4 linked regions of the Arabidopsis thaliana genome follow. The protein of the gene in region 2 interacts with the protein of the main gene of each other region in a pairwise test. Each region holds a gene or a part of one and is shown on either strand. Other genes may lie near its edges. The genes, in order: MYB3R-3, AT3G18210, MYB73 and TGA3.

Region 1 (8,150 bases), 3.4 Mb from region 2:
GAATTTCAAGCAATCCTTCTCTCCTTGAAACTTGTACAGTAGCCTTCCTTAGCTTCATTATTAACGCTTAACTGGATGTTATTAACGCTGGTCATAGAAGGGTTAAAGGGTTTGCAAACTCTTTAGTTAGTACAAAACAATGTATTATAAACTGGATGTTAGTAACCCTGGTCATGTGGAAGCATCATTGTTCATCTTGATATGGGCCCATTACACTTAATTTATTGCTAAAGTCAGTGTTATTGTTTTGGTCTTTTCTTTTCTTTTTGGTGTGTTATTGATTCTTAAATTACCAAGAATTTTGAAGGCTTTAAAAAGTTTGTTGAAGTTGGGTGTCAGTATCAAAAATTCTAAACTATTGTTTGAGAATTTTCTATAATGTTGTTGATTAGCTTTTCAAACAATCTCTCTATTTTGATGATATTTTTCATGACTTTATTTTTTTTAACGAAAAGCGTAGAAAGTCATAAACCAATAACACAATAATTTAATTCATTAACAATCATAAATTCTTTTATTTTATTTGAAACAAACTTTTAATGAATTTTTATAAAAGTATGAATCCAATAACTCTAAATTTATGAAGATTTTAGATTACTTTTTACAAATATTAAACTATTAACACCTAACTTTAACAAACTTTTTAAAAGTCTTGATTAAATAACAACAGATTCTCCACAATATTTTAAATTACTAAAACTCTATTTAAATCGGTAACCAATAACACGTATGTAATTCGTTCTTTTTTTTTATTTTTCTTTATAATATGGCTAAAGTCGGTTTCGGATCGGGGTATTCCTTATTAGAAACATATTCTTGATAGGAAAAGGGTGTTGGATTTTTGCTATATAAACGTGACCTTTGGTGTTGTTTAGAGCTCACAACATTCTTCTATTGAATACAAAAAATCAAAAAGCTTTTCAACTTTTAAACAGAGATCGATTAGGGTATAGATTATTATGGTGGCGAATCCTGGCCGTGGAGACCGTAGGAGAGGCGTTGGAACAATGGATGACTTCGAGACGACCAAAGGGGTCGATCCCATCGAGAGTTTCGAAGATATGGGCCTTAAAGAGGATGTTCTTCGTGGTTTATACGAGTACGGTTACGAGAAGCCCTCGGCCATTCAGCAGAGGGCGATCATGCCAATTCTCCAAGGGCGAGATGTTATTGCTCAAGCTCAGTCCGGTACGGGAAAGACCTCTATGATTGCTCTCTCCGTCTGCCAAGTCGTTGACACTTTCGTCTAGAGAGTACGTTTTCTCTTCCTCATACCCTAATTCCAATTTTAACTTTTCTGCCAAGTTATCTCCAAATTTATTCTCATCTTATTTGTTGGTATTTCTGATTGCAGGGTTCAGGCCTTGATATTATCCCCAACAAGAGAGCTGGCTTTCACAAACAGATAAGACGCATGCATGCATTGGTGGGAAGAGCCTCGGAGAAGACATAAGGAAGCTGGAGCATGGTGTCCATGTTGTGTCCGGAACACCTGGTCGTGTCTATGACATGATAAAGAGGAGAAGTCTAGGCACCAGAGCTATTAACCTTTTGATTCTTGATGAATCAGATGAAATGCTGAGCAGAGGATTCAAGGAACAAATCTATGATGTTTACAGATATCTTCCACCTGATATTCAGGTTTGCTTGGTTTCTGCAACTCTACCTCACGAGATTTTGGAGATGACAAGCAAGTTTATGACGGATCCGGTGAAGATACTTGTGAAGCGTGATGAGTTGACTCTTGAGGGAATTAAAAACTTTTTTATTTCTGTAGAGAAAGAGGAGTGGAAATTTGAGACAATATGTGATCTTTACGACACACTTATCATCACTAAAGCTGTTATCTTCTGCAACACAAAACGAAAAGTGGACTATATTAGTGAGAAAATGAGGAGCAGCAACTTCACTGTCTCATCAATGCATGGGGACATGCCTCAGAAGGAGAGAGACGAGATCATGAATCAGTTTCGGACAGGTGAAAGTCGCGTTTTGATCACAACAGATATGTTTGCACGTGGGATTGATGTGGATCAAGTTTCTCTTGTCATCAATTATGATCTCCCTAACAACCGTGAGCTCTACATTCATCGTATTGGACGGTCTGGTCGTTTCGGACGTAAGGGTGTTGCAATCAACTTTGTTAAAATCGACGAGATCAAGATTCTCCGGGACATTGAGCAGTACTACAGTACTCAGATTGACGAGTTGCCAAAGAATATAGCTGATTTGATCTAAAACACTTTTGTCAATGTGAAACTATCTTATGATTTGTAAATTACCTACCCGTTTGAATAATGACATCATAAAGTCTATTTAGAAAAAAATTCAAAGCAGAGTGATATTGTTCACATCGGTGAACGAATGATTCAATGTTCAAATAATCAAAGACGCATATCAATCAAATAATCAAGAACATGCACCAATTTCTATGGCCCACTACTGAAGATCTTTTTTTTGTTATGGAAAAAAAAAACCTAGCTCAACTATGAGGTGTAAATTATTCTTTGGACTAAATACATCTAACATCTCTAACATTAACCCAAAAATAAAAATATAACCAATGAAACAACATTCAGCGTGTAATCATCTAGTCACTGTTTAGCCTAGGAGTTGAGAATCTCCATCAATCAACATATCTTTCTCAGATGATTTGGTTTCATCATCAGCTTTCTCTTCCTCTCTAGATATAAACTCAAGCTGTCTTGATTTGAAAACTGCTGTCCTTTTCGATCTTATCCGATATGGAGGAGATAGATTGTAAGCATTTGATCCATTATTTTGAATCTCTGAACTATCCTTACCATCATTCACCTTTTGATCAACCTCTTTAGCTTCATCTGTTTTCTTGGCGTTGTTGTTATCCTGAACAACAACCCTGGGTCGTCTTTTCCTGAATATGGATGGTGTGTTTGGGTAAGTTCTACCAGCTTCTCTCAGGTAAGATTCAGGACTTCTTGGAGTCGAACCGTTACTGTGCACATTCCTACACGGCGGTGGAGTGAAGAAGCTAACTGGTGATGCGCTTGGACTGCAACCACATTCATTCCCATACATACGCTGCGTATCCACTTCTGACGCCCTGTAATAGTCTATTTGAGGCGTGTAGTACAGATGATAACCATTATTTGCAGCTCCACCATTCTCTGGCAATGGCTCTGGGTTAGGCAACTGAGGAGAACGAGCATACTCATTAAGACTAGTCATTCGTGAAGCAGCTACTACTTCTTCGACAGGAACAGATGAGTTTATTTGGCCATTTCCGTCTTCAGCGAGATTGTTTACATCTGTAGTTACTGATGAGGTTTGAGCAACTGAACCAAAAACCCTTTTCTGAGCAGACGATGAACGTTTGGTTACACTATCAGGAACACCATTCCTTGTTGTTGTTGGTGGTGGTAACCTACCAGTCAATAAGTAGAATTCTGACTTCTTTTTCAATGAACTATTCCAATGGTTCTTTATTGCATTATCAGTCCTGCAGCAAGTTTTAAGTAAAACCTTCATTAAACCCAGAAGCTAACCCTTCTCTAAAGTCTCAACTCCAATGACGCATGCCAAGAAAAGTAAAAATACCTGCCGGGTAAGACCTTAGCAATTTCAGCCCATTTGTTTCCGTGGCTTCGATGAGCATTCATGAGAGCTACTTCTTCCTCTGTGGTCCAAGCATCCTTGTTAATATCAGGATTCAAATGGTTATGCCACCTGCATACATATCAAAACACATTAAAGCTTCCAATATAACTATAAGAAAAATGCTTGGCTCATATGAATTAACTACCTCTCTCGGCATTGCTTCCCAATTCGACCTGGTAAAGACTGTGCGATAATAGACCATTTCGCAGGCCCGTATTTTTCAACCAGTTCAACGATTTTCTCATCCTCCTGCAAAACAACAAACTTTAAGCCTTCGTATTTCACATAAAAAATGAAGCCAAATAATAAATAAAATCAGAAACAGAATCAACCTCATGTGTCCAAGGTCCCTTAATAAGGTCTGGATTTAGAACTTTCTGCCACCGATGCAGGCATTGAACTTCAGTTCTATCAGGGAAAGATTTCGCTGCAAAAATGAATACACCAATTCAAACAATACTAAATGCTTCACGGAACAAAACGGAAACAAACGTAAAAGAAAGTCTTTCTACTAGATGCTCAGCCTCAGATGATCAAGTTAACATACAAGAGTAACTCATAAAACTACAGAGACAAGAGTATGGAACTAATAGTTACTGTAAGCAAGTAGGCTCCAACTTTAATATTCGAACCACAAATCTATGGAGTATGTTGTAGCACTGACATTACTCTTGTTAATATGAGAACTAGAATCTAAAAAGAAGAAGAGACTTACCTATGTTCTTCCAGCTCTTGCCTTTAAACGTGTCAACTGCTTGTCTCAATGTCTCATCCTGCATTAAGTAAAACAACTCACATCTTGAATTTCGAACTACTGATCCAAAATTGATATTGGTCAAAAGCAATCACTAGTCAATACTCAATACTAACCTCTTCCGGAGTCCACCCACCTTTGGCTCGCCTTATAGGGCCACTCGTCCTCCTGCATACCAAACACTATCAACATCAATCTCTTGTAGAAAAGATGCAAATTCGCAAACGAGTGCTGCGGAGGAGATACAAAACAAGGAAGAAGAAGAAGGAGACGAACTAACCCGAGGTACCTATGAGTAGGTGATACTGTGGCAGGACTTGCAATTGTAGGTGACTTGTGGGAACTACCAGCACTGCCTTCAGATACAGAAGAGCACGAAGCAGGTGTTGATTGCTTATTTTCTACACACTGATCCTCAATTTTCACTTCACCTGTTTCTTCCTGAAGATCCATCATCTCAATGAAAGAAAAAAAAGATCCAGACTTTGATAAGAAACAGAGAAACCCTAAAAAAGCAATCATCGTAAAACACAAAGCAGACAGAACCCAGATCTCACAAATCACGAATTCAGTAAACAGCTCAACATTAACACCAACCACAGCAAAATTAGGGTTTATAACAATTGTAATCACAAAAATTTATAGTTTCAATAAAGTTAAATTCGTTTCGAATCAGAGCCAAACAACAAAGAACTCAATTTCACTAGAATCTGATCACAAGAACAAAACCCTTAAAAATTCAGATTCGATACACAAAAACTAACCTCATCTGGAGAAGAAGCGGCTGGATTAAAAGTGGAGCTCATCGAGATAGATAGATACACGAATTCACCAGCAGAAGAAGAAGAAAGAAGGCGAAAGGAACGTTAAAAAAAAAACCAAAACTTTATTCGAAAAATACTTTGCCCGTTGAACCAGAGAGAGAGGGATAGAGAGAGAAAGAGAAGACTTGATCGAAACAAAGCGAGAAAATAAAACATAAAAAAGGGTTCCCTAAGTTTTATCTCTCTCTCTCTCACTATTATAACGAATACTTCTTCTGCTGACGTCACACCGTTACTTGCCGTTCTTTTTACCTTAAGTAACCTATTTTCTCCAAACCGAACTGATATTTATCCATAAGCACGAGTTGAATGTAATGCAATCTAATTCTGGTTAAAGCTGGTTCAGTAAAATAGACCAATTTAACGCCGTCGTTATCTTTTGGAAAGTGGAAAAGTCGTCAAGGTTAGAAGGTACACTAACGGACGTTAACGGTAGAGAGTTAACCTCAGAAACAGAAGTTTGAACCTCAAACGGCACTCGTAGCTGATCCGTTGACCACTGAACACGTATACGATGCCAAGCTTTGCAGGTGACTCTGGACCGTCGGATTTGGTTTGAGATGAACTTTATGATTCTTCTTAAATACTATCCTGTAAAACCAAGCTAGATGTAAGATCATCCGGACCGACACATTTTGTTTAAAATTGAATTTTCTGGTATTTGATTTTGGGAATTTTCATAAAAAGTCATCACTTTTGTTTCAGTTATATCTTTATAGAAAAATAAATTTAAAATACATTTAGCTCATCAAATAGGTGAGATAAGTTCAGTGATTGTTAGTTGTTATCTGATAGAAATTAGAATTATCATAAACAAGGAAAATAAAATTATCAAAATTAAATACATATAGATTTTATTAAATTAATTAAGTTAGTGGTTTTTCATTTCTTAGTCAGTACCACTTGAATTGTAAAAATAAATAGATCATTTGTGTGAACTTTTTTTTCTTTTAAATCTTAAATATTTGTTACTGATAATAAAGAATAAATTTAGTTGGGGTTCTCCTATATTAATGCAAATAAAATCAACTAATCCGGCAAAACAAAAGAAATTAAAACTCTTGTGTTTCACAATACATATCATCAATACAATCCAAAATCATTACCATCCTCTTCTTCTTCCTCGTCCTCTTCATAGAATTTCTCGCCGTTTTGAAAATCTGTCTTCATGTCGTATGATTCTACATTGCCTTCTTCTTCATCCTCTTCATCTTCATCTTCATTTTCACCATTCTCATGTTCATTACTCTTCATTTCCTTGTTCTCTTCCTTCTTCTTCTCAATGTCTGTCTCTGTTTTCGACCTCTTGGGTGATTTCTCAGGTGCCTGAAAGAAGAAAAGAGAAGCAAAATTGTAAAGACCTCAAAAAGTGATGAGAATTGAGGATACAAGAAGAGGTAATCAAAAACTTACGGATGTATCAAATAGCGACTCCAAAACATCGTAGTTGATCACCGAACTAAGTCTCTGTAAGAGTCAACACTCAAAATCAGGAAAAAGGAAGAAACACAGACTCTAAAGTTTCTTCAATGCTAATAATTTCGACAGCCATGTTGTTGACTATGTACTTCCAGGCCAGGTTTTTAACAGATGATACATGGCATACTCGGTTTATCTTTTTTTGCATATTCGTTTTCAAGTATCAAGGTATCAAAGAAGCTGACATTCTAACCTTTTTATCAAGCGTTCGGCGTACCGCCTCCACTGCTGTGGCTGGAGGAGCCGCGTTCTTTGCTTCCTCAGCTTTTTTTTGTTGCTTTTCCTATATGAAGAGAGAGAAAAAAGAATCAGAAATTGATTGAGAAACCATATGTCATCAATGGGTATCATGTTATTCTCCAAAAGTCAGATGCTTGATCAGGAACATAATTTCAAAGTTCAAACTGAGTCACCTTTCTAGATTTTGCCGCATCAGCTTTGGCAGCTTCGAAAGCCTTTCTTGCATCTTCTGGGCAATTAGAGTTGCTAGCTTTTAAAGCTTCACTAGCCGCCTTCAGAGCTGCTTCCTTAGCAGCTTGCTCCTACAAAACAACATAATTTTGTATGTGATTTGATCTCCTAGGTGATAAATCAAAAGGAATCCAAGAGAAGATACATATTATATAGCCTCTGAAATCACCTCAAGATAATCTTTGTTCATTTCTGTCCATGTGATCGTCTTATAGTGCGTTTCCTCCTCGTTGTTGATATAGCCATTTACCTGAGCAACAGTAAAATACTATGACTGACGATCAAATATAACAAGGGAAACTGTAGTGAGAAAACAAGACTTTGAAACTGTTGAGAATTCTTCTTTATTTCATGTTCCATATTCGAGGTTGGAAATTTGACATAGCATTTACTACTAAACAATTACCGACCTCATCATCACTGATGTCAGAAAAGTTGTCTGATTCATCCGAAGTATCAGCATGTTCTTCAGCCCCATCTTTATCTTTTTCACCTTTCTCTGCGACACAGCCCAAATAGATTCTCAAGTGCTCAAACGATAGTGAAGAACTTTAATCTGATAGAAAACAATTGCACTCACCAGAACATTGTTTTCCCCTTTTGCTCATACTGCAATAGTCTGACTGTTAAAAGTTCGGCACAAGAAAGATTTTATTATAATATCATACAAGCAGAAGTGAACAAGCTCCCAATACAGGTGCTTTGGGTAGGGAGGAAAATATCTAAACTGCAATCCTCAAATAAAAGAGCACCAAAACTTACATATAGTTGTTCATCGTGGTTTAGGCTACTAATTCCTCCCTCGTTTTCTTCTCTAGCTGCTTTTTCCATTCGCTCTTTCTCTGCGCGCTGGAAAGCAGGAGGATTGGACCCACCAACAAGTCCACCAGAAACATTTATGAACTGCATTAAAAATTGCAAAAGAAAACATTTGATTGTTAACTCTGGGAACCATTTGTCAACGACTCGCAACTACGTAAACAGAA
Region 2 (7,718 bases):
ATATATATCATTTTCCATACATAATAGTAATGCAGTTTGGTTTGATAGTTTGGTCATTATTTCCAAGCCAACATTGCGTTGTCAAATTTCTCACTACTAAATTTTCTTTTACTTTCTTTCATTTGGCAGGTGTTTCAAGAAGCTTCAATGGCAAAAAAAAAAAACACAATCGCGATGATGCTATCAAACATGATTATTGTACTCAGATCTTCTAAACAAAATTCAACGACAATCCACTGAGATTCAGCCTTTGAGCAAAGATTCAGCTATAGATTAAGAAAAGAATTGTCTACAAACAAAGTTCAACAATAATCTTGGATATGTAAATTTTGCATTAGTCATGCACACACATAACAATGTTAAAATCGATCTTTGGATTCGACCAACATAACAAATACAATTTGTTTATTTGGTATACTATTGTAGAGGCAAGGAGATTGGATGTATGAAAATAGAGTAAAAGTTCTAAAATTGGACACAAAACAGAAGATCGACGAAGAATAAAATATGAATGATTTTTCTTCTTAAGGCGACCACTTACAATGTAACTTTATTTGTCTCTTTTTTTTATTATATACATACAAAAAAATTTAATTTTTATACTATTTGTAGTGTAACACCTGAACCATGGTCAAAACCAAACCCTTTTACTTTGAGTGAAGAAGAAGAAGAATACATTAAGAATTAAACCCAAGAGATCACATTATATATATATATATATATATATATATTATTTTTTGAGATCACATTATTACATAGTAGACCACTATTATTTCAATTATTTGTTTGCATTTACGCGAGCATTTATAACATGAAAACTCAAAGGAAATTGTTCCATGAGATATCATCAAAAACACTCGTTAATAACATAAAACTCTTGAAATTCAACGAACAGCCAGACACAACAACAGACCAACCATATTAACAAGAAAAATAGACAAATCATCGTCCAAATGCAAAAGTAATTTGTCTCAGCTGGCCAGCCAACATATAGATTGTAGAGAGAGACAACAAAGTAAGAAGAGAGAAGATGGGTCTCGAACTTTTTTTGGTAGGCTAATAATCTTTTAATTAGGCCCAGCCCAGTCTAGAAGTTTCAAATCCTTAAAAAATATTCGGAAAACCCCAAATCTTTGGTGCTTGCTTGAGTGTCGCGCTTATTTATTCCTGCATGCTCAATCTGTCCGGAGTCCGTCAGGTGCTTTAGGTTTTTCTCTCTGTCTTCTCCGATTCTAAGAGACGTGGGGGAAATGAGCCAATTAGAGGTACCAGATTCCATGAATGAGTTTAGATGATCCATAGTGGATACGAATGCAATGAGATCTTGTATGATCTCTTCGCCTTCGTATCCGATATCGGATCACCTAAAGACATCCCCATTGTCTTATTTTCCGCCGTCACTGCCACTCCAGCTTTGTAACGTCTCTTGGCATTAGAAGAAGAATCGAACTTTTGTCCTTAAATCTTAATAAAAGGTTTCATTAATGTACTTATCGAGCGTGAGCCTTTTTGTGCGTATCTAGTCATGTTTAAACAGTTTGAGGCTTGAACATTTCGTTTATGGATTTTACTCAATCCTGTGGAAACAAAGCAAGAACAAAATTGTTTTAAGGCCTGTGTGAATAATAACAATTCTTCTTAGTTATCCAAACCTAAAACCAAGAACAGAAAAAGCTAAAACCATTACTTTCTTCAGTGATGAACATACTTAAGATTGTTTGTTTGCGTTTAGGTAGGCGTTTGCGTTTTCATCTTGTAATGTTTTCTAATCATTGTAACATGAAAACACAAACGCATACATAATTGCAGACAAAGTTGTTCCATCACATTACAAAAGACACCGTTAACATATAACTCTTAATACACAACAAAAGTCAGAGAAGAATCTACAGAGTATGAACAGCTGATTCGATTTCGCCGTCCATTGAATCAGCCGTTTCTCTGAACGATTGGCTATGAAGATGCCTGGTAAAACTAGTGGTCGTGTCCAAGAAATATAGAATCGAGGACATCATACAACAGCACACAAACATCGGGATTGGCCCGAAGGTCCATAAGAAGAGAGGGAAGGAGAAGTAGAAAGCCCGTAATCCGAGAGACCAGAAGTAGCTAGCTCGGTTCAGGTTTCTAGACACGTACTCGCAGTGCTCTCTTTTCCCTCTTGAGACAGGCACTGTGACTAGGAAACTTACGTGAGCGTAATACCTGATTGACTGGATGTTGCAGAGAAAGGCCATGAGGAAACAGATCAGGATTGCAAAGTTCTTGAATGACGCTAAGCGAGGGCTTTTGCTCCCGTATATGAGATTTGTTGCCGTGGATTTTGAAGATGACGAGTTGCTTACAAAGACGCCGATGATGGAACATAAAGTGATTGCTGTTGTGGCTAAAAGGGTTGATGCCATTATGTTGTTCCGGATTGTCTGAACAGCCAAGGTACCATTTTTCAGTGGTTCCTGGAAATAACAATAGATAAACTTATATCATCTACTGCAAAAGAACCAATACTGAGAGCCAAGACCACCGATAATTCGGATCTTAACGGACAGACACACGACTGTGTTCTTGTTTCTCATGTCTATGACTCTGTTCCTATCCAATGAACCTCATTAACTAGCTCCAAGATTCTAGCTGAAATATGCGTAGAGTTGTGAACTATAGGGATCTGTGATGCATATCCTCCATGAACAAGAAGAGTTCTTGAAAAATGTCAAGCTTCCAAGGAAGATAGCCAACCGTCTATTATAACATTGATTCTACTAATGAAGATTCACATCTAACATCACTTGACAGCTCCAAGACTTTGCTTCTCCTAATCTCATCATCTTTACTCATCATAAACCCTGCTCAATTTTGCTACCTGATGTTTGAAGATCCAAATATTTATGGTTTACTAGTTTTTAGTTGACTTCGAAAACTTCAGAATCATGAAAATTGAGGATAGGAGAGCCGTAAGACTCTCAATACCCAATTCCTAAAATCACGAACAAAGCAGCTCTATTGCCATAAACCCTAATCTAGACCCCAAAATCTCCAGAATCAGAAATACCAAGAAAATCCCAGAATGTCACCAAAAGAGGAACAATAGAAATGAGAAGAGAAAAAAACATACAGTCATCATAGAGAAGACCCATTGTCGTCGAGACTCAGCGTTGAGAGCGATAACAGTGAGCTTGGGGCGGTGAAGAATAGCGTAGACGAGCCAGACATGGTAAGCAACCATCACGACCAGACCCGTCGGCACAAGCACTAAATCCAAAGATTCCTCCGTCCACATTTCTACTTCGCCGCAGAGATACTTTCAATTCGTACGGTTGTTCCGTGATCGGAAAGATCGATGGCGGCCAAAAGATTTTGGCAGAGGCAAGAGACGAAAAAGCACCAAGCTTTGAGAGCGAAAGCTTTCATTCACACGTGTGAACTTAACAAACTCCAGAGGAGACTATCGATATCTCTCACGTGTTAACCAATAACGCACTAACAGACAACTCAAAGTCGAATGATTTCAATTCCACGATTATACCGGTAATTTCAGTTTAAACCAAATAACCGGTTCGAATTATTTAATGGGCCGCCTAATAGATGGGCTAGAAAATCATTTAACTCTTCTTATAAGGCGTATGACTGGTGGTTTCGTGCGTAATATTAACAAATAAATAAAAGATAAAAAAATCTTCGAGGGAACATTCAGAAACCCTAACTTCAACGGGAACTCAAAAATCAGAATCTCCAGATCGAGAGCTTAAAAAGTCGATTTCAATTCCCCTTTAAGATTTTTTGCTTTTGGAATGTAGTGTGAAGAAGAAACCCTAGTTTTTTCTCACTTGAATTCTCTGCCTTCTTTAGTAATGTCAAGTGAGCAGCGAGAAGGTTCGCAAGAGACGACGACGACGACGGTGGAAGGTAACGGAACAATTGCAGGTCAGAATTCTCATTCGGCGGCTCCCACGACATTGAGAGCTACCTCTACGATGGTTTCTTGCCAGAGACTAAGGCTAAACCCTAACAACGAGCATAGACCCGATAGTTATGAAGATCTGCAGCTTGATTTCCCAAACTCGGTATATTCTAGTCTGGAGAAGTACTTGCCTCCGAATATGCTCGTCTCGAATCGTGATGAGAAAATCAAATTCATGACTGATATTATGCTTAGGCATCTTCCTCATGGAGAGCGTTCCAGAGTAAGTACTAGATTTGGACCTTTCTCTCTTGAATTTTGTTTTTACTTGTATTGATGACTGTGAATTGCTTTAGAAGCTACACTTCATTATGAAAATTTGAGCTTTTGCTAATTGCTACTATGAACTGGTTTCACTTTTAGTTAAGTGGTTATGGAAATTTCAATCTGGTTAGATGATGGTTGGTAGAAGATATTGCATGAATGGTTTGAAAATGTCAATATGAGCTCAAGAGTTTTATTAAGTAGTTTTGTTTGGCTGATGCTACAGGCTCAAAGGCACAGTGACTATAGGCTGAAGATTACAACAAATTATCAGGTGTGAATCCTTTCTTGAGCTTTCTTGTGTTCTGTATTGCTCTGCTCCAGTCATTTGTTAGTAGTTTGAAGTGTTTTTCTACTGCAGCCACTTCACAAGGAGTTGTATACTCTAGTTCCCACAGTATGTTTCGTTCCTGCTTTCCTTAAGGCGATAAATGAAAACACAGAGGAAAGCTTCAGAAATATAATATCTGAACCGTCTCCTGGTGTTTTCGTCTTTGACATGCTCCAGCCTAGCTTTTGTGAGATGATGCTAGCCGAGGTAATGTGCATCCATTTTTTGTTTTTCTCTTATCCTTCGTATTTTGTTCATTTGCTCTTGTTTGACCATGCAGATAGACAATTTTGAAAGGTGGGTGGGTGAGACCAAATTCCGGATAATGAGACCAAACACCATGAATAAATACGGTGCTGTGCTTGACGACTTTGGTCTAGACACCATGCTTGACAAACTCATGGAGGGGTTTATACGTCCCATCTCTAAAGGCAATATATTTTTAAATCCATTACATAGTCTATTATTGGAAAGTCTGTTTAATATGTTCACAGTGTTAAAACTAAAAAGCTACTTCGAATCTTTTGTTTTGCAGTATTCTTCAGTGATGTGGGTGGAGCAACTCTGGACTCTCACCATGGTTTTGTTGTTGAATATGGGAAAGATAGGGATGTTGATTTAGGTGAGACCCTTTGACATATCCTGTATAATTTCCCATGACCTGACTAGTTGTCCTAAATGCAGATATATTCCAATACTCACGTTATTCTGGCTGAAAATTATCAGATGTTATATAAATTTTCAGGCTTTCATGTGGATGATTCAGAAGTAACGCTGAATGTTTGTTTGGGTAATCAATTTGTGGGAGGGGAGCTATTTTTCAGAGGCACACGGTGTGAAAAACATGTGAACACAGCAACAAAGGCAGATGTATGCCACTCTTTTCTGTTGCTTTCTTGTCTTCTAACATTCTGTATATGGCTGATAGCTAATATAAACAACTCTTTTTTTTCTGCGAAAGCAGGAAACATATGATTATTGTCATATACCTGGACAAGCTGTGCTTCACCGTGGCCGCCACCGCCATGGTGCCAGAGCCACAACATGCGGGCATCGGGTCAATATGCTTCTATGGTGCAGAAGGTAAATAGCATCTAAAACTTGCCTCTAGACTGCCATGCATCTTTTTTTACATTGCAATTGACTTTCCATTTTTATTTGGTTTCTTATTAAGCTTGTCTTTCGTGTTGTTCCTTGCAGTTCTGTATTTAGAGAGCTCAAAACTCATCACAAGGATTTCTCCAGCTGGTGTGGAGAGTGCTTTTGTGAAAAGAGAGATGAGAAAGTGCGGTCGATTGATGCTCTAAGAAAGGTAAGCCTGTGATTGATCAAGCTTATATAGTTCTCTGTTTACTAGAATGGTCGATGATTCTATGCTCTTTATTGCTATTGCAGAAATTGTTTAAACCACGTCAAACCCAAGCTTGATGGAACACTAGCAAGATGAGCAATTGATGAAACATTAGTAAGATAAGCAATAACATATATTGGATGACATTAAAACTTGAGATCAAGCCCTGAAGAATTGCTCCTGTTTTAAGCTGACTTAAAACTGAGCCTATGTAGAAATCATTTGAGTTATATGGGTCTCTGTTTATCGTTTCTCAGACTCTTTGATAAAATATGTACATGAAAGAATCTAGTCTCAACTTCACTTGTGTACTACAAGGAGTCATATTGTTGTCCGATTTTTTTTGTTCTTTCATATGAGTACAAGGAAGAATTGGTGTTATCTAATTGGATTTGGTGATGCTGCTCTCTTAAATCTCCATATTCGCCTCAAATCGTTGCTCTACTGAGTTGTGCACTTGTGCTCTTCACCAATGGCTAGAGCCACAAATAATGGATTTTGCTCTTATAGAAACCCAAATCGATTGCTTCGGTAGGCTCTTTTGAATATAAATGAGCATTAGGGCCATTGTGCACGTTATTCTAAATAATGGAAGAGAGAAGAAAGTGTAGATGGTGTTTTGTTGCTGTCTTGTTATTTCATGGCAAGACAAATCGAAATTGGGTGTGAAACGGTACTACCAACCCAATTAGTTGACTTTAAGGCTTATCATTGAATCCTTTTATGGATCTGTTATTTATGTCTCTTTTATATACTCTTCCATTCATTCTTCTCACCAAATTCATTTTATTTTTGGGGTTTCTTGGTATCTTTTTGACAATCTATGTTGATACGATGTTTATATATATGATCACACTAATTAGCAATGTAGATGAAAACACAATCCTTCATCTTCATGATACAGTAGTATAAGATCAATAAGGATCATTTGGGTCTGTTTTAAATCTTAAAAGATTTTGATGTCTAGGTGTGTGCTAAGTCGTTGAAAACACAACTAAGTTAACTTCATTCTGCAGATATTCTTAATGTTAAAATCTGAGCTCAATAGGGATTCTTGACTGAATTTTTTAAAAAGATTTGATGTCTAGGTTTTTTTTTTTTGCCAGTTTGTTTTTGATATTTTGGTGATCTGATGATTGTGTTGTTAGTTTTGTGTTTCAGTTTTGATCCTTAATTTTCTTTTGGATTCTGAAGCTGGAATATTTTGATTATATATAATTCAAACTGAGAATTTTCATATCATGGGCTGAAAAAATGGAGAATCTTGCATGTGTCCCTCTTTAGGGCCACTAGAAGAAAAAGAAAAGAGAGTACATAGTACAAATTACTTAAATGATTGCTAAACATTATTTAAAACAGAATAGTTTCTTAATACATTAGGTCAAGTTATATGTTTAACATAACTTTTTGGAAGATGTCATAGTTTTAAAATCCAACCTAATTGGTACATTTGATTGTAGCCGTTTTTTGGAATCTAATGACATGAAACAATTACAAGTTAACTGAATAAACGGTGGTTAGTGCTCCTTCGAAGAGATATTAGTAAACTTATCAATCAAATTATTAATGGTTTTCCACATTCAAGACAAGATGCCTAATTATGAGCTAGACCACATGCTATTCGATTCCATAAACTCATTATTACATAAGAAACGAATATATAAACATAATAGAAATCAAATGAATCCCCAAATGAAGAATTCACTAGAAACACAAACTTAAAATCAAATTAAACATATATGTATATGTCAACATTCAACGTGAACATTGATAAAATAGTGGTTTGTATTACTATTGTCGCCGTTGCACAACCC
Region 3 (6,323 bases), on a different chromosome or scaffold from region 2:
CTAATTCATAAGTGGTTTACGCATAGATATGCATTCATGAACGAAGAAGCTTCTTTAGCTAAATGAATTCTATGGGAGTGTTTTAGTACTAGTATCTACGGTTTTTCTAACGTTGGTAGTTGATGATATATGTGTGAATGCATATCAAATTGACCACAACATAAAAAAATGAATTTATGGTTAAAAATGACTTCTGAACCGTTGGTTGGTTACATAATCCATTAATAGAAACAAAAATAAGGACAATGCATTTAATATATTATTCGAATACAATTCTTCGCTTACTTAAAAACATACATATAGTTGACTACGATTTATTCCACTCAGACAATACGACCCTCCAATATTTAAGTTTTATTTTCTCACATATTTTGAAAAACACCAAAATATATTTTTGTTCTCTTTAATTTCCTTCAAAAAGCTAAGTGTATAACTCAAAAAAATAAAAAAGTCAAAAGTCAAATTTGTGTTTTTTACAAATGATAAAAATTCTAAATTTCTTAACTAAACACTAAACCAAAGTATTTTTAGTTTTCCAAACACAAGTTATAAAGGAGTTAAGAATGGTAAATTACTAATTAGTGAAGAATATATAAAAAAGGGTGGGTGGGTGACCGGCAGGTGGGAGAGTGGCCGTTAAAGGGAGGCAGAGATTTACAGCCTGTTTTTGTTTTTTTTATAATATCAGAAAATTAAAGTGGTAACGATCAGCCTTCCGATCTATCCTTGTCGTTTTGCGCCACGTGAGCAACTGTCTCTTTTTGGCCTATCTTTTTCTTTTTGTTTTGCTTTTTTTCTTCTTTGCTTTTTAGAGTATTTCATTTTTGAGATCGGCAAAATATCCAAAACATAATAATGATAACAATTTTTCAAATAAATAAAAAAAATACTAATAATGGTATACAGGCTGGCTTCCTCAGTCAAAAAGTCACCGAATCGAACCAAAACCTCATACCTAACCGTTAACTTCATCCTTATCTTCTTCTTCTTGTTTTCCTTATTTCTTTTTGTTGGTGCTCTTTTTTCATTTTTCTATTATATCATACATTCTTTTACCATATTACTTCAATTATTGTTGGTTTACCTTCATAAGTTTAATATGTTTTAGTGCATACGATATCAACTGTTTTGCGCAAAGGGTTGAGTTTTTATATAAACTAAACGAAAACAAAATTTGGAGGGTACTGAAATTGTTCATTTTTCATTATCTTGGTGTAAATAATCTATGAATCTCATGTGTATATGCAAAGTCATATGAAGTGAACTTGGTTTAGATATTTGTTGTATTTTCAATTTTCATTTTTAATTATATCATACATTCTTTTACAATAATCTTCAATTATTGTTTACATCCCTAATTTTAATGCATAAGATATAAATTGTTTTGAGCATTAGGGTTTAGTTTTTTTATAAACTATATGAAAACAAAATTTGGAGGGTATTTAAGTTATTCATTTTCATTATTTTGTGTAATTAATCTATGAACTTCGTGTGTATATATGCAAAGTTGCATGAAGTGGAACTTGGTTTTAGATATTTATGAATATCTAGATATTTGTTGTATTTCAGTTTGTTAGGTTTTGTTCTCTCTTTCTGCCAATTACACACACTTTTGTTTTACAAAGAACATAAATAAAAGTTACATATATATCCTGAAAAGTTTGCTTCACTGTATATATATCATCATCCTACACGCGCTTCACCGGCGTTTACCCTTTCAATTTCTGGTTAACTAAGTTGAACCGGATTAGTAATTCTTCGGTTTAGTTGTTCTTCTATACGACAATTTATCACTTGACAAATATAAACGATCTATTACTTGCAACATTCATATTTAATCTAGTATCTTACACGTACATATTTGTTAGAAATTCAATGACCAAACATTGCAAAACTATTACATTCACTTGTTGCATGTAAGCTAGAAGCCTAGAACTCGCTGTCAACGACTACAATGTCTACATTATTTTCACCGACACAATTTACATCTTAACCAAAATTTGGATATTGGACCAATCGTTCGTTTATATAATAACCACACGTATCAATCAACACACAGAAGACAATGACATGTAACAAACAGTGTAAAATATTGAAAATAACTTATCAAAAAACTTTAGTTCATAACACAAAAACTTTCGGCTATTTTTTATTGACTTCTATGTAGTCTTTTTGTTGCACTTACTATTTTTAAAAGCAATATGTATGTTTCCAGCAGATTCTTAGTTTTTACAAAATTTTGCCTTTAATATTTTTTTTGATATACATTGCCATTCTTGATTTCATTTTCTTCTACAATAGTATCAAAATTTTACAAAATAAAACTTCAAAAAACATACGAAAAAGTTAACAAATATTCAAAAAGAGAATGATTTTAAAAAGGATATAAATATAGAGAGAATAAAACGTAGAAGTTAACGATTTTTTTTTGTGAGTGTCACTTTAGATGGAAAATGAAATGATTGGGTAAAAACGCTCCACCTGTAAAACAGAGAGTGGAAGAAACGCTCCTGTGTACGAGCGTACTCTCTCTTCAAAAGAAAACAAATCTCTCAAAAAAAAGAAAGAACAATTGAAAAAAAAAAAGCAAATCTCAAACTCAAAGTACATATACTTACTTGACACGTGTTAATATACAGCTGTATCCCAAGTCCCCAACCGTTTTTCCTGGAAGATTCTCTGCTCTCCACGCTCGATGTTAACCTCACACAAACGCTTATCTCCCAAAACGCCTTTTCCAATCGCCAACGTGTTTTATTTTTGGTTTAAAATAAATATCTGTTCCAATCATACAAACACGTAAATGTTGTCAATTTTTTTATACCCAAACGTTAACGAGGTTTGTACGTAGCCCATTTATGGACACATAATTATGAACATATAAACAATGGTTAATCATACGTTTAAATTAATTAAATTCACCAATATTTTTTTGACTGAATGAGTCAAAATTGTTTAACGAGTAACGACCATAATTATCAGTTTTTATTTTTTATTGTTTGAACTACCATAGTTATCCGTTTAACACTGAGCAAATCTCTTTATTAATAGAGAAAACGGTTTTATTTGTTTCCTTCTATAAAATTTGTTTTTAATAATACGTTAGATATTTTTATGCAGTTAAGGATAATATTACACTGTAAAGTTTAACTAGTTTAATATCGTTTCTGTTAAATCGATAAGAAAAAATTACCGGTTGAACCGGTGACCCTTTTGCCCACTCCTTTCTCGTATAAATACTCTCTCTTCTTGCTCTTATCCTCTTCAACCAAAAAGCTTTTCTTCCCAACACACACAAAAAAAAAAACTGTAACGACCAAAAAAAAAGAGGACGCGTTAGAAGAAAAAAAAAGAACAATCCGATAAAAAGATCCGGCGATGTCAAACCCGACCCGTAAGAATATGGAGAGGATTAAAGGTCCATGGAGTCCAGAAGAAGATGATCTGTTGCAGAGGCTTGTTCAGAAACATGGTCCGAGGAACTGGTCTTTGATTAGCAAATCAATCCCTGGACGTTCCGGCAAATCTTGTCGTCTCCGGTGGTGTAACCAGCTATCTCCGGAGGTAGAGCACCGTGCTTTTTCGCAGGAAGAAGACGAGACGATTATTCGAGCTCACGCTCGGTTTGGTAACAAGTGGGCTACGATCTCTCGTCTTCTCAATGGACGAACCGATAACGCTATCAAGAATCATTGGAACTCGACGCTGAAGCGAAAATGCAGCGTCGAAGGGCAAAGTTGTGATTTTGGTGGTAATGGAGGGTATGATGGTAATTTAGGAGAAGAGCAACCGTTGAAACGTACGGCGAGTGGTGGTGGTGGTGTCTCGACTGGCTTGTATATGAGTCCCGGAAGTCCATCGGGATCTGACGTCAGCGAGCAATCTAGTGGTGGTGCACACGTGTTTAAACCAACGGTTAGATCTGAGGTTACAGCGTCATCGTCTGGTGAAGATCCTCCAACTTATCTTAGTTTGTCTCTTCCTTGGACTGACGAGACGGTTCGAGTCAACGAGCCGGTTCAACTTAACCAGAATACGGTTATGGACGGTGGTTATACGGCGGAGCTGTTTCCGGTTAGAAAGGAAGAGCAAGTGGAAGTAGAAGAAGAAGAAGCGAAGGGGATATCTGGTGGATTCGGTGGTGAGTTCATGACGGTGGTTCAGGAGATGATAAGGACGGAGGTGAGGAGTTACATGGCGGATTTACAGCGAGGAAACGTCGGTGGTAGTAGTTCTGGCGGCGGAGGTGGCGGTTCGTGTATGCCACAAAGTGTAAACAGCCGTCGTGTTGGGTTTAGAGAGTTTATAGTGAACCAAATCGGAATTGGGAAGATGGAGTAGAGTGATAAGAACAAGTTTTCCCTCTGTTTCTCGGGAAAATAAAAGTTTCAGGCTTTTCATGTATAGAGCCAGTAGTAGAGACGACGAAAGGAGGAAGCGAAATCAAAAAATGTTTTGTTATCATCATCATATGATCTTCTTTCGTGATTCAATTAAAAGCAAAGCAAGATCATTTATTAACAATTTACACAAACTTGAAGAAGAAAAGTCAAAAACACTTCTCAAACTTTTATTCTATGGGTTTGTTACGAGGAAACAAACATAAACTAAAAGTAGTAAATATAATCTCACGTGACATAATATATGACCTGAAGAAACCAGTCGAAACGAAACATATATACGATTTTGATGTTTCATAAGCGATCATACAATTCACAGTGTCTTGCTTTTGCAGAATTAGACAAAGAACAGCAAGTTACCCCCTAATGTGCAGAGCTTAAACTGTTGCTGCTGCTACTGGTTGGTTCTTGTGAGCGTAACTTGTTGATTAGATGAACTATGTCTTGTTTCCACGACCATGATGGATCGTTTAGACCACGTACTGAGTTTAGACACACCAGAAGAGTCCCGCCTTCATGTAGAAGTACCTATGATCACAAAAATGCAGGTTAGCGGTTTTGTCTCTCGGGTAAATGATGGATAACAAAAGCTTGTAGTGGGTATTAGCTTACGTACCGTCAACCACAATGGGACAAACCCTAAAACTGAAGGAAGAGCGGCCAAGAATATCGATGTTAATGCAAGAGCTACGTTTTGCTTGACCTGCAACATGATACATTCTTGTTAAATCAGGCAATCTAACATCTGAAACTGGTTAAGAACAAAGACTTTTATGTTTTATCTACCAATGATGTTGTCTGGCGGGATTTAGCGACACAGAACGGAACACCGGTGATGTTGTCTCGAAGCAGTAAGATGTCAGCAACGGCAATCGCAGTGGCACTCGCTCGTTGAGCAAGAACAATCCCCACTGTTGCAGCTGCTAGAGCTGGAGCATCATTAATCCCTTCTCCTACCATAATTAAACCTCCACCTAGCAAAAATCACAACTCTAAATTCTCAGTCTCTTGATAGATGTTTTTGATTGGGAACTATGGCGAGAGTAATGAATGATCACCTGCTTCCCGAGCAATGTTCTTTACATGATTTAACTTATCCTCTGGCTTTAGGTTGCAGTAGACTTCGGTAATACCCACTGCGTTTGCAACTCTCCAAGCACTTGAATCATGGTCCCCAGTTAACATCATTACTCGGAGTCTGGCCCAGCTTTTAAGTTCTGCTATAACTCCTGACACCCCTGGACGAGGCTGATCTTCGAGGTGAATCAATGTTACCTGACAAAATTTAGTTGCAAGGCTCATAAATTTCAGTGTTACAGAGGTTTTTATGGACTAATAAATGGTCAGATGAGAGATGAAAATCACAGACTGTGAAGTAGGAAAGAGGTTTTTAGACCAGCTAAAGAAGTAGTCGTAGTATACCTTTTGATCAACAGAAAGAGCAGCATGAACGAAGTCCTTTCCGTACGAAGACGCGTTTACAGCATCCTTGATCTGTTTAGATTCATCTTCAGATTTGAAAAGTGAGGTAATGAACTCTATAGAACCAAGTGATGCTTTTCGTAATCTACTCTCTTCAGCTACTGTCTATTACAAAACCAAAAAATGTGGTGAGAGACAACATCATATATATTAAGAATGAAAGCCAGAGATGTACACACATCACCCACAGCTATACACTATAAAATCTGGTAGATAAATGGATATATATAAGAATCTAGTAAATAACTGAGTCTCACCTTAACACCGTTGACAGTAGCAGTAAGGCCTCTACCAGGAAAATATTCGAAGCTTTCAACAAAAATAGAAGGAAGATCCTTACCCACACTGTGATCTACAACAGCTCTGCAGCAAGATGAAATGTGTCAGAAACAGCAGAAAAGACCTATAGTACTCTTCAGTCTCAATCTCTTACCAGACCAA
Region 4 (7,747 bases), on a different chromosome or scaffold from region 2:
ATGGACCCACAAATTTGATCTATATATTCATCCCAATCCCTCACTCTTAAATTTCCAAACCACACTCACCTTTCACCAACTTCTTTTTACATTTTACCACCTATTGTCTCTATTTGCATCTCTTTTCATAATTACCATCATATTTTTCTCCTGTAAACTTTTTGATAACATGTCACTAGACGGATCGGGACTAGGAGGGATGGCTATAGCGGAGGTTTACACGATGAGGAAGTTTCATAGAGAGAACATGAAGAGTATAACGGCAACCGCGGCCACAACCGCTGGTGGAATCGAAGAGAACGGTGGAGGATCTGGTCGATGGTTCTTTGGAAAGCTGAGCACCAAGAAAAACTCTGCTAAAGTTTGTGATCTTATGATTACAGAATAAGCTATAATGGCGCGTCCAAAATTAATCAAATAATTATAATGAATAAAAACGTTAGAATTTTCTTTTGCCCTTTTTGTTTGCTTTATGTTTAATATGTAGTGTTTATCGTTTGAATTTATTTTATGATTTTTTTTTTTCTTTGGGTTTTAAGCAAGTATTTAGATTGGATGTTTTATAAAGCTATAAGAGTTTCTAAATCCCTGCTACATATGTAACGATTATATAGTCATGAACTCATGATGAGTTATTTTTAAGCATAATAAGTTTAATTAGGACCAAACACACATAAATAAGGAATTTAAGGGCTGGAGTTACAATATATGCCAATTTATTCTCAGACCAGCATCTCTCCTTCCCGTGGCAAATCCAGAGGGTCACGCAACTATCTGAATTAAGTATAGATAAGTATAGTATCTAATCTATCTATATGGGTGACATCAGAATTTGATGCAAATTGGAATAGCCAAATGTGATGGACAAATTAGATTATTTAGAAATACATTTTTTAAATAACTAAGAGTATCTGGCCCTAAACTCATACATCTTTTCAGACGAGTATCATAATTGTTTGTTAAATGTAAATTATTGAATCTAGTACCAGGTTTTTAAATCAATGAACGGCCGTTTAATAGTTTACAAGAAGAATGTTCGGCTAATCTACTAGATTTATATAGTAAAATAGATTTTTATAAAAACTAAAAAGCAAGTAAATGGTAAAACTAGTACCAAATTAAATATATAACGCCGTTAATATATTTCCTAATTAACTAATCAAAATGGCCAAAACATTATAGTATATGTGGCGACCAATATGCGACCTCCTGTTCAAAAAATCAAACGTACTAGTGGTGTACAAAATAATATTTTGAAATCTTCATTATGAAACGTGAAATCGTCAGGATTTTATAGATTTTGTTTTCCTCTAATAAATTTTTCTAAGAGCCTAATTATTGTCAAATATTTTGTAATGTTGGCGTAATTTTAATTATTTTTAATAATTGAAAATATATTTTGTAGATTCAAACAATTTAGGATATAGTTGAATGAAGTTGACAAGTTGATGCATGCAAAGAAGTAAGAAGAATGACATTCTTGTATGCGAAAATGATTATTTTCAATTAGTGACTGATATCTTTTGCAAGTCTAAAATAAATATAATATATTTTATTAACAATTCGTGAAAAGTCTTTTTATTTGATGGCAAAATACTACATGGTTGTTCTTTTTTTTTGTTGCAACCATGTAATGATTAATGGTGATATTGTTGGTTGGTTGGTAGTCGAATGTTATATGGTTATTATTTTTTTGGTTGCAACCATGTAGTGATTGATAGTGATACTGTTGGTTTGCTACATGGTTACTCCTTCTTTGGTTCCAACCATGTAGTGGTGGTTGATGGTGATATTGTTTGTTGGTAGTCGAATGCTACATGGTTGCTCCCTCTTTGGTTGCAACCATGTAGTGGTTGATGGTGATATTGTTCAGTCGATCATAAAATATATGATGCATGAAGAATATAAATTATTGAATTGTTTTTCCTTGCTAAAAAGTTAATAAAAAACAATTTATCCTAAATACTCTTATTTTTTTGTAATTATGTTGTTAAAGGGTCTAAATTTTTATATATCCTTTTATCTTATATAAATATATATATATATATATATATATATATTATTTTATTGTTTATATATATGTAAGTAAATGATTGTGTATAAACAAAATTAATACTGAAAAAGACTAATTTTTAAAATTTGTACCAAAATTCCAGTTCTATTGAGCCGGTTTTGGGTGTATATATAATAATATATTATAATATATAATAATATATTATAATATATCGTGTATTAAAATTTAAAGGTTTATTACGAAATTTTAGACTTAAGATTGAATTCTATCATCTAGATTATTAAAGTTAAATAACTTATTATGATCTATTATTTTTATCATTGTAGACACTCTTTTAAGTGGTAAAGTTTAGGTCTAAAATCTATACATGTTATATAACAAAATAAAGAAAACACCAAAATTATTAGGGTTAACGAAAATAATATGTGACGTTACAGAAAAGAAACTTGCGCATTTTTAAAAAAAAAAAGTTGTACAAGGCGAGAAGCCTTAAAAAGCGGCACAGAGACTTCTGTAGATTTTTTCTCACGTGCACTTGCCATGTGTTGAATATTCGACAAATTTTATGGGCTTTACTCTAAGCCCAACTTTTCCTCTTTAGGCCTTTCTGCGCTGTTGCGTCAAAAAGACAAAAACTTAATAGATTTAAGAAAATCAAAATGATTCATTTTAGTTTCGGTATTTATCCTTTTGCATGTCATTGATCAATACGTTTTGAATCATATTTATAAAGATTGAAAACTATAGTATATGAAATCTTTATTAAAGCCAAACCAAAAGCCCCACTTATTTTACGTATTTGTCTCTGTCGAAACGCAGATTTTATCAGACAAGTGGCACCAAACTAACTAAAGAATCAATATTGTATTAGGCAAAAGAAGAAAAAGATAACAAAATTAATCATTTTCTTAGAGTTGGGTAGGTCACTAGAGGCCCAATTATTACTCACTAAGCTAAGGAGGAGTACTTAAGTTAAAAGATGCCACTGCATAGCACTGAGACCCTCCAAATAAAGCGAATAAAAATTAATAAATTGATTAAAAGTATTAATCTTCCACTCTTGTCCCACAAAATGCGACCTAATTTCTTGGAAAAGTTTATTCAATTTCTGAATAACAAATAATTCACAGTTATTCAAATATTTATACAAATAAATTATCAGCTATATTTAAAATCGTTACTAAAAAATATATTTAACCAATCGGTAGTAATCTCGTGGTACAAATATCAATTATCCATTTTCAGATCAAATCATTACTATAACTATTTTAATTTAAAAACTATATATATATATATATATTATATATCAACTTTTTATAATGTGAATCATAAGTCGACTATTAAGTTTTGATATATGATATTGTATGTTTTTTTCTAACAAAATCATAAACAAATCACATCTTATATATATGAGATTCAGATTCTCTATGTTAAAAAATAAAAATTACCGGAATATTCCCCTCAAGCATCTGACGTGTCGGCCGACGATGAAGAATCCAGGTCATCAAAAGGTGTAGTTTAGAAACAGAGGCGCACGATAAGGTCAACTTTTGGAATAGAGGAAAAGACTCAACCTTTTTTATCATCTCTCTCGATTTGTTTTTCTCCCGGTGGTGATGCTTTTGTCGTTTCATCGTTCGTTTACTTCAACTTGCTTATTATTCTACGCTCATGGACTAATCAAAGCCATGAGGAAAAAAAAAAAAGCAACAACACAAAATATATGTATAAAAAAATAAATATCTCTGCTTTTTTTTTTCAATGATGGGTACGCTTCACCTCTAAGTTTTGACCAAAGTTTTTCTTCATTTCTCTCTTCTCTCTTGTGGTCACCGTTTGATCGGAATATTCCTTTTAGAATGCCAAGATTCATTCTTCATCTCTCGAGCTCCTCATGAATTTCTTCTCTGCTTATCAATGGAGGTTGGTTTTTGTTTCTCATGTTATCTTTTCTTGCTTTGTGAAGTCCTTAAATTTTCCAATTTTGGTTTTTAGTTGTTGCAACTTTCTAGTTTCATGGGTATTACTCTATTTGGCTATGTTTCTTCAAAAGGCTCTGTTTTGGAGAGCTGGGTTTTCTAAAGTTTCAACCTTTATTGCTAAAACTGAAACTATAACTACTTGTTTATTGTGTGTGTTAGTAAGCAATGCAATTTTAGAGATATGGACTGGATCTATATATCTATTGAAAGCTGAGCTAGAGAATCTGTTTCTTGAATTCAATAAGCTTGAGTCTGTAAATTGTTGATTTACAGATGATGAGCTCTTCTTCTTCTACTACTCAAGTTGTATCATTCAGAGACATGGGGATGTATGAACCATTTCAACAGTTATCTGGTTGGGAGAGTCCTTTCAAATCAGATATCAACAATATTACTAGTAATCAGAATAACAATCAGAGTTCTTCAACAACACTTGAGGTTGATGCTAGACCAGAAGCAGATGATAACAATAGAGTGAGTTATTGTTTATTCCTGGATCATGCTTTAGAATGATTTATAAGTGTTGTTTGTTTGGTGATTGATGGTTAATTATGTTGCAGGTGAATTATACTTCTGTGTATAATAACTCTCTTGAAGCAGAACCGTCGAGTAATAATGATCAGGACGAAGACCGGATCAATGATAAGGTAAGGCTTTAGCATTTTAAGGCTACTTATACCTTTTGCTTCGAAGACTTCATAAACTCCTCCTTCTCCATTTTAATCTTTAGAGGAAGAGACACGGCGTGATGACATGAATTGTTGTTCCTTCTCTATGAACAGATGAAACGGCGTTTGGCTCAGAACCGAGAAGCTGCTCGCAAAAGTCGTTTGAGAAAGAAGGTAACCTTGGTGGGATTTTTTCTTGTGTTAATGATAAAAAGGAAAGCTTATGCAAAGTTGTGTCTGTGCTTGTAGGCCCATGTTCAACAGTTAGAAGAAAGCCGGTTGAAGTTGTCACAGCTCGAGCAGGAACTTGTAAGAGCTAGGCAGCAGGTTAGCTCAAGCTTGTTTATTTGTTGTGTGTTCATCAAACTTTATCTGATTCATTCTGACTCAGTGATTCTTCTGGTTTGTATTAGGGATTATGCGTACGCAATTCTTCAGATACTAGTTATCTAGGACCAGCTGGGAATATGAACTCAGGTTGGTGTTTATATCACTAAATAAGCATATGTTAGCATTGCTTTATCTCTTAATCCTCAGTAGATAAAGAAGTAATTTTCCCAATAATAACCATTTTCAGGTATTGCTGCATTTGAGATGGAATACACACACTGGCTAGAAGAGCAAAACAGGAGAGTTAGTGAGATTCGAACAGCGCTCCAAGCTCATATAGGTGACATTGAGCTCAAAATGTTGGTAGATAGTTGCTTGAACCACTACGCAAATCTCTTCCGCATGAAAGCTGATGCTGCAAAGGCTGATGTGTTCTTCTTGATGTCGGGAATGTGGCGAACTTCAACTGAACGCTTCTTCCAATGGATTGGAGGTTTCCGCCCATCCGAGCTTTTAAATGTAAACTTCTTTTTTACTTTTACACGTTTCTCTTTCTACTCTTGAGAAAAAATGCTCAACCTTTTTTGTTGTCTAGGTTGTGATGCCATACGTTGAGCCCTTAACCGATCAGCAACTGTTGGAGGTGCGTAACCTGCAACAGTCGTCTCAGCAAGCAGAGGAGGCTCTCTCTCAAGGCTTAGATAAACTTCAGCAGGGTTTGGTCGAAAGCATAGCAATTCAGATAAAAGTTGTTGAGTCTGTGAATCACGGGGCTCCAATGGCTTCAGCCATGGAGAATCTTCAAGCATTGGAGAGTTTTGTGAACCAGGTAACGCTAAGTGTATTTGCTTTGTGCTTTTGCAGTCTCCATGAATCCAAAGTTTATTTTCATTTTTGATTAGAAACTTTGTGAGCATGGATTTCACAAACAAAATCTCTGACAATATTGGAACAGGCGGATCATCTGAGACAACAGACCCTGCAGCAAATGAGTAAGATATTGACGACAAGACAGGCTGCTCGAGGGTTGCTCGCTCTAGGAGAATACTTCCACAGGCTGCGTGCTCTTAGTTCTCTCTGGGCAGCTCGTCCACGAGAACACACTTGACAAGTTAGGAGGCAAACAAAACAAAGAGAAAGAAGCACAAGGCAGATGATGTTAGCTATAGGGACTTGCTTTATCTCTCAGAAAGTGTTGGCTGATATTTTCTCCATTAGAGAGCATCATCTTCCTCATTGATGATTTTGTTTACTTGAAAGGAATAAGAGATGTGTAAATTTGGGTGGAAAACATGTAATGTCTTTGATGCATTAGGCTCTTTATTTGTAAAATATATAGGGTTTGTTGTCACTCATCTCCTCGTATATGAAAATTTGAGCCCACAATCAAATTTTTTGTCTATATTGTTATTCCAACAGTTCTTAGCTTATATTTGTTGTTGGTATAAATTGGTCAATAGACAAACAATAAATTCAAATAGATTCATAGAGAGTTTGATCATTCCCTTCATTCAAATTGTGCCTAAAATGAATATCCTACGGGTCTCAGCCAAAAAAGCCCACACCGAGGAAAGATAAAGACAAGAGTTAAAGGTAACACATGTTTCTTCCCTTTTGTGATACAAATGGGGTAAAAAGGGTTAGTTCTCTTTCTTTCTTTATCTCTCCTGTAAAATTCAAATCTTCTTCACTAGCCATCCTGGAAAAAAGAAGTAAAAAGACATAAGAATAGACCAAGAAATCAACTTCCAAATGTGAAGAACACAAGACTCATATGGAAAAGGCAGCAGAGTACTTCATGTAAACAAGAAAGTATCCATGACCCGGTTTACTACTACTTCCTTGTTACAAAATACAAGCTAGGAGGATGAAATATTACAGTCTCGTGCTTCTTAAAGAGAAAGGATTATTTACCTCTGGCATGGAACTGCTTGGGCCACCAAGTGATAAGGCATTGTGGCTATTACTTGAGCCCATAGAGTGTCCATAGAAGTCGGTACTTCTGCAAGCAAGCATGATCAGTTGGTAAGTATGGTATAAATAGTTTGGGAAAAGAAATCACTAGTAACAGAATACCTAGCATCTGAATGTTCCATCTTTGAAGCTACATCAGAGGTCTCTCCTGCGTTGTTGCTCAAAGGGCTTGATCCAAAGCTTAGTTGCGAGCATTCTTCTGTAGAGATTGGCAAATTATCTGAAGTTACAACAGCAGGTTTATCGTCTTCATGAGATGCTTCTTGATCATGACTATTTGTATCTCTTGTCTGCAAAAGAAGATAAAACCATACGACAAAGCCAAAGTTCCAGTAAAACAAAAATGACAACTAGCTTAAACCAGAAGTCATTTGATTCCTGTAAAACATCAAGAGTCAGGAACTACATGAGGACAGCTAGTGATACAGAGTTTGAGGACAGTAACAACTCCTCAGGTATGACAGATTTCCTAATTCATAAGATGAAATTAATGTTAAAAGATAGAGAGCCAGAAGCTTCAGAAATCTGTCATCTTACATTTATCAACTGCCTGACTTGGCCATGAAGACTTGCGACGTCATCATCATCTAGGTTAGAGTGCAATTTAGAACTGCTGCGCGCCACTCTGCAACCAAAACACAGCAATGAAAGAGTCGCAACACTGAGCATTGTTCAACTCTGTGACAGTCTGATCAATTTACCTTTGACGACGACGCTTTTTAGATCTTTTTGGTTCATCTTGTTGCTCCTGTTTCCTCTTAAGGTTTGCCCTTGGAGCT

The links.
Region 1: the proteins of AT3G18210 (region 2) and MYB3R-3 interact in binary tests that used the Arabidopsis thaliana proteins (3 or more experiments, as listed by UniProt).
Region 3: the proteins of AT3G18210 (region 2) and MYB73 interact in binary tests that used the Arabidopsis thaliana proteins (3 or more experiments, as listed by UniProt).
Region 4: the proteins of AT3G18210 (region 2) and TGA3 interact in binary tests that used the Arabidopsis thaliana proteins (3 or more experiments, as listed by UniProt).

What each region holds. Positions count from the first base shown.
Region 1 is NC_003074.8:2,876,580-2,884,729, reverse strand, and holds MYB3R-3 (myb domain protein 3r-3), read right to left. Parts: upstream 5,378-8,150; 5' UTR 5,197-5,377; coding exon of another isoform or gene 5,155-5,196; 5' UTR 4,913-5,154; coding exon 4,671-4,912; intron 4,559-4,670; coding exon 4,507-4,558; intron 4,410-4,506; coding exon 4,352-4,409; intron 4,064-4,351; coding exon 3,969-4,063; intron 3,886-3,968; coding exon 3,782-3,885; intron 3,706-3,781; coding exon 3,577-3,705; intron 3,479-3,576; coding exon 2,602-3,478; 3' UTR 2,375-2,601; downstream 1-2,374. Other genes in the region: AT3G09360 (Cyclin/Brf1-like TBP-binding protein), read right to left, coding at 6,298-6,540, 6,628-6,681, 6,887-6,976, 7,107-7,235, 7,334-7,414, 7,575-7,663, 7,745-7,787, 7,927-8,067. UniProt on the Arabidopsis thaliana protein: Transcription factor that binds 5'-AACGG-3' motifs in gene promoters. Transcription repressor that regulates organ growth.
Region 2 is NC_003074.8:6,236,527-6,244,244, reverse strand, and holds AT3G18210 (2-oxoglutarate (2OG) and Fe(II)-dependent oxygenase superfamily protein), read left to right. Parts: upstream 1-3,639; 5' UTR 3,640-3,848; coding exon 3,849-4,181; intron 4,182-4,448; coding exon 4,449-4,496; intron 4,497-4,583; coding exon 4,584-4,760; intron 4,761-4,833; coding exon 4,834-4,984; intron 4,985-5,088; coding exon 5,089-5,175; intron 5,176-5,298; coding exon 5,299-5,423; intron 5,424-5,517; coding exon 5,518-5,636; intron 5,637-5,753; coding exon 5,754-5,865; intron 5,866-5,948; coding exon 5,949-5,981; 3' UTR 5,982-6,343; downstream 6,344-7,718. Other genes in the region: AT3G18215 (transmembrane protein, putative (Protein of unknown function, DUF599)), read right to left, coding at 1,887-2,456, 3,113-3,277. UniProt on the Arabidopsis thaliana protein: Participates in the epigenetic repression of flowering genes in association with ICU11. Functions in the repression of several members of the MADS-box transcription factors family, including SEP3, during vegetative development via histone modification.
Region 3 is NC_003075.7:17,537,224-17,543,546, forward strand, and holds MYB73 (myb domain protein 73), read left to right. Parts: upstream 1-3,266; 5' UTR 3,267-3,378; coding exon 3,379-4,341; 3' UTR 4,342-4,576; downstream 4,577-6,323. Other genes in the region: HMA1 (heavy metal atpase 1), read right to left, coding at 4,764-4,928, 5,017-5,103, 5,187-5,374, 5,459-5,675, 5,823-5,987, 6,140-6,245. UniProt on the Arabidopsis thaliana protein: Transcription factor that functions in salt stress response. Acts as a negative regulator of NHX7/SOS1 and CBL4/SOS3 induction in response to salt stress. In response to auxin, activates the transcription of the auxin-responsive gene IAA19.
Region 4 is NC_003070.9:7,785,720-7,793,466, forward strand, and holds TGA3 (transcription factor TGA3), read left to right. Parts: upstream 1-3,413; 5' UTR 3,414-3,931; coding exon 3,932-3,937; intron 3,938-4,269; coding exon 4,270-4,470; intron 4,471-4,556; coding exon 4,557-4,643; intron 4,644-4,778; coding exon 4,779-4,838; intron 4,839-4,913; coding exon 4,914-4,991; intron 4,992-5,077; coding exon 5,078-5,141; intron 5,142-5,241; coding exon 5,242-5,513; intron 5,514-5,589; coding exon 5,590-5,823; intron 5,824-5,949; coding exon 5,950-6,102; 3' UTR 6,103-6,420; downstream 6,421-7,747. Other genes in the region: AT1G22065 (uncharacterized protein), read left to right, coding at 170-388; AT1G22080 (Cysteine proteinases superfamily protein), read right to left, coding at 6,685-6,693, 6,909-6,996, 7,071-7,258, 7,506-7,593, 7,670-7,747.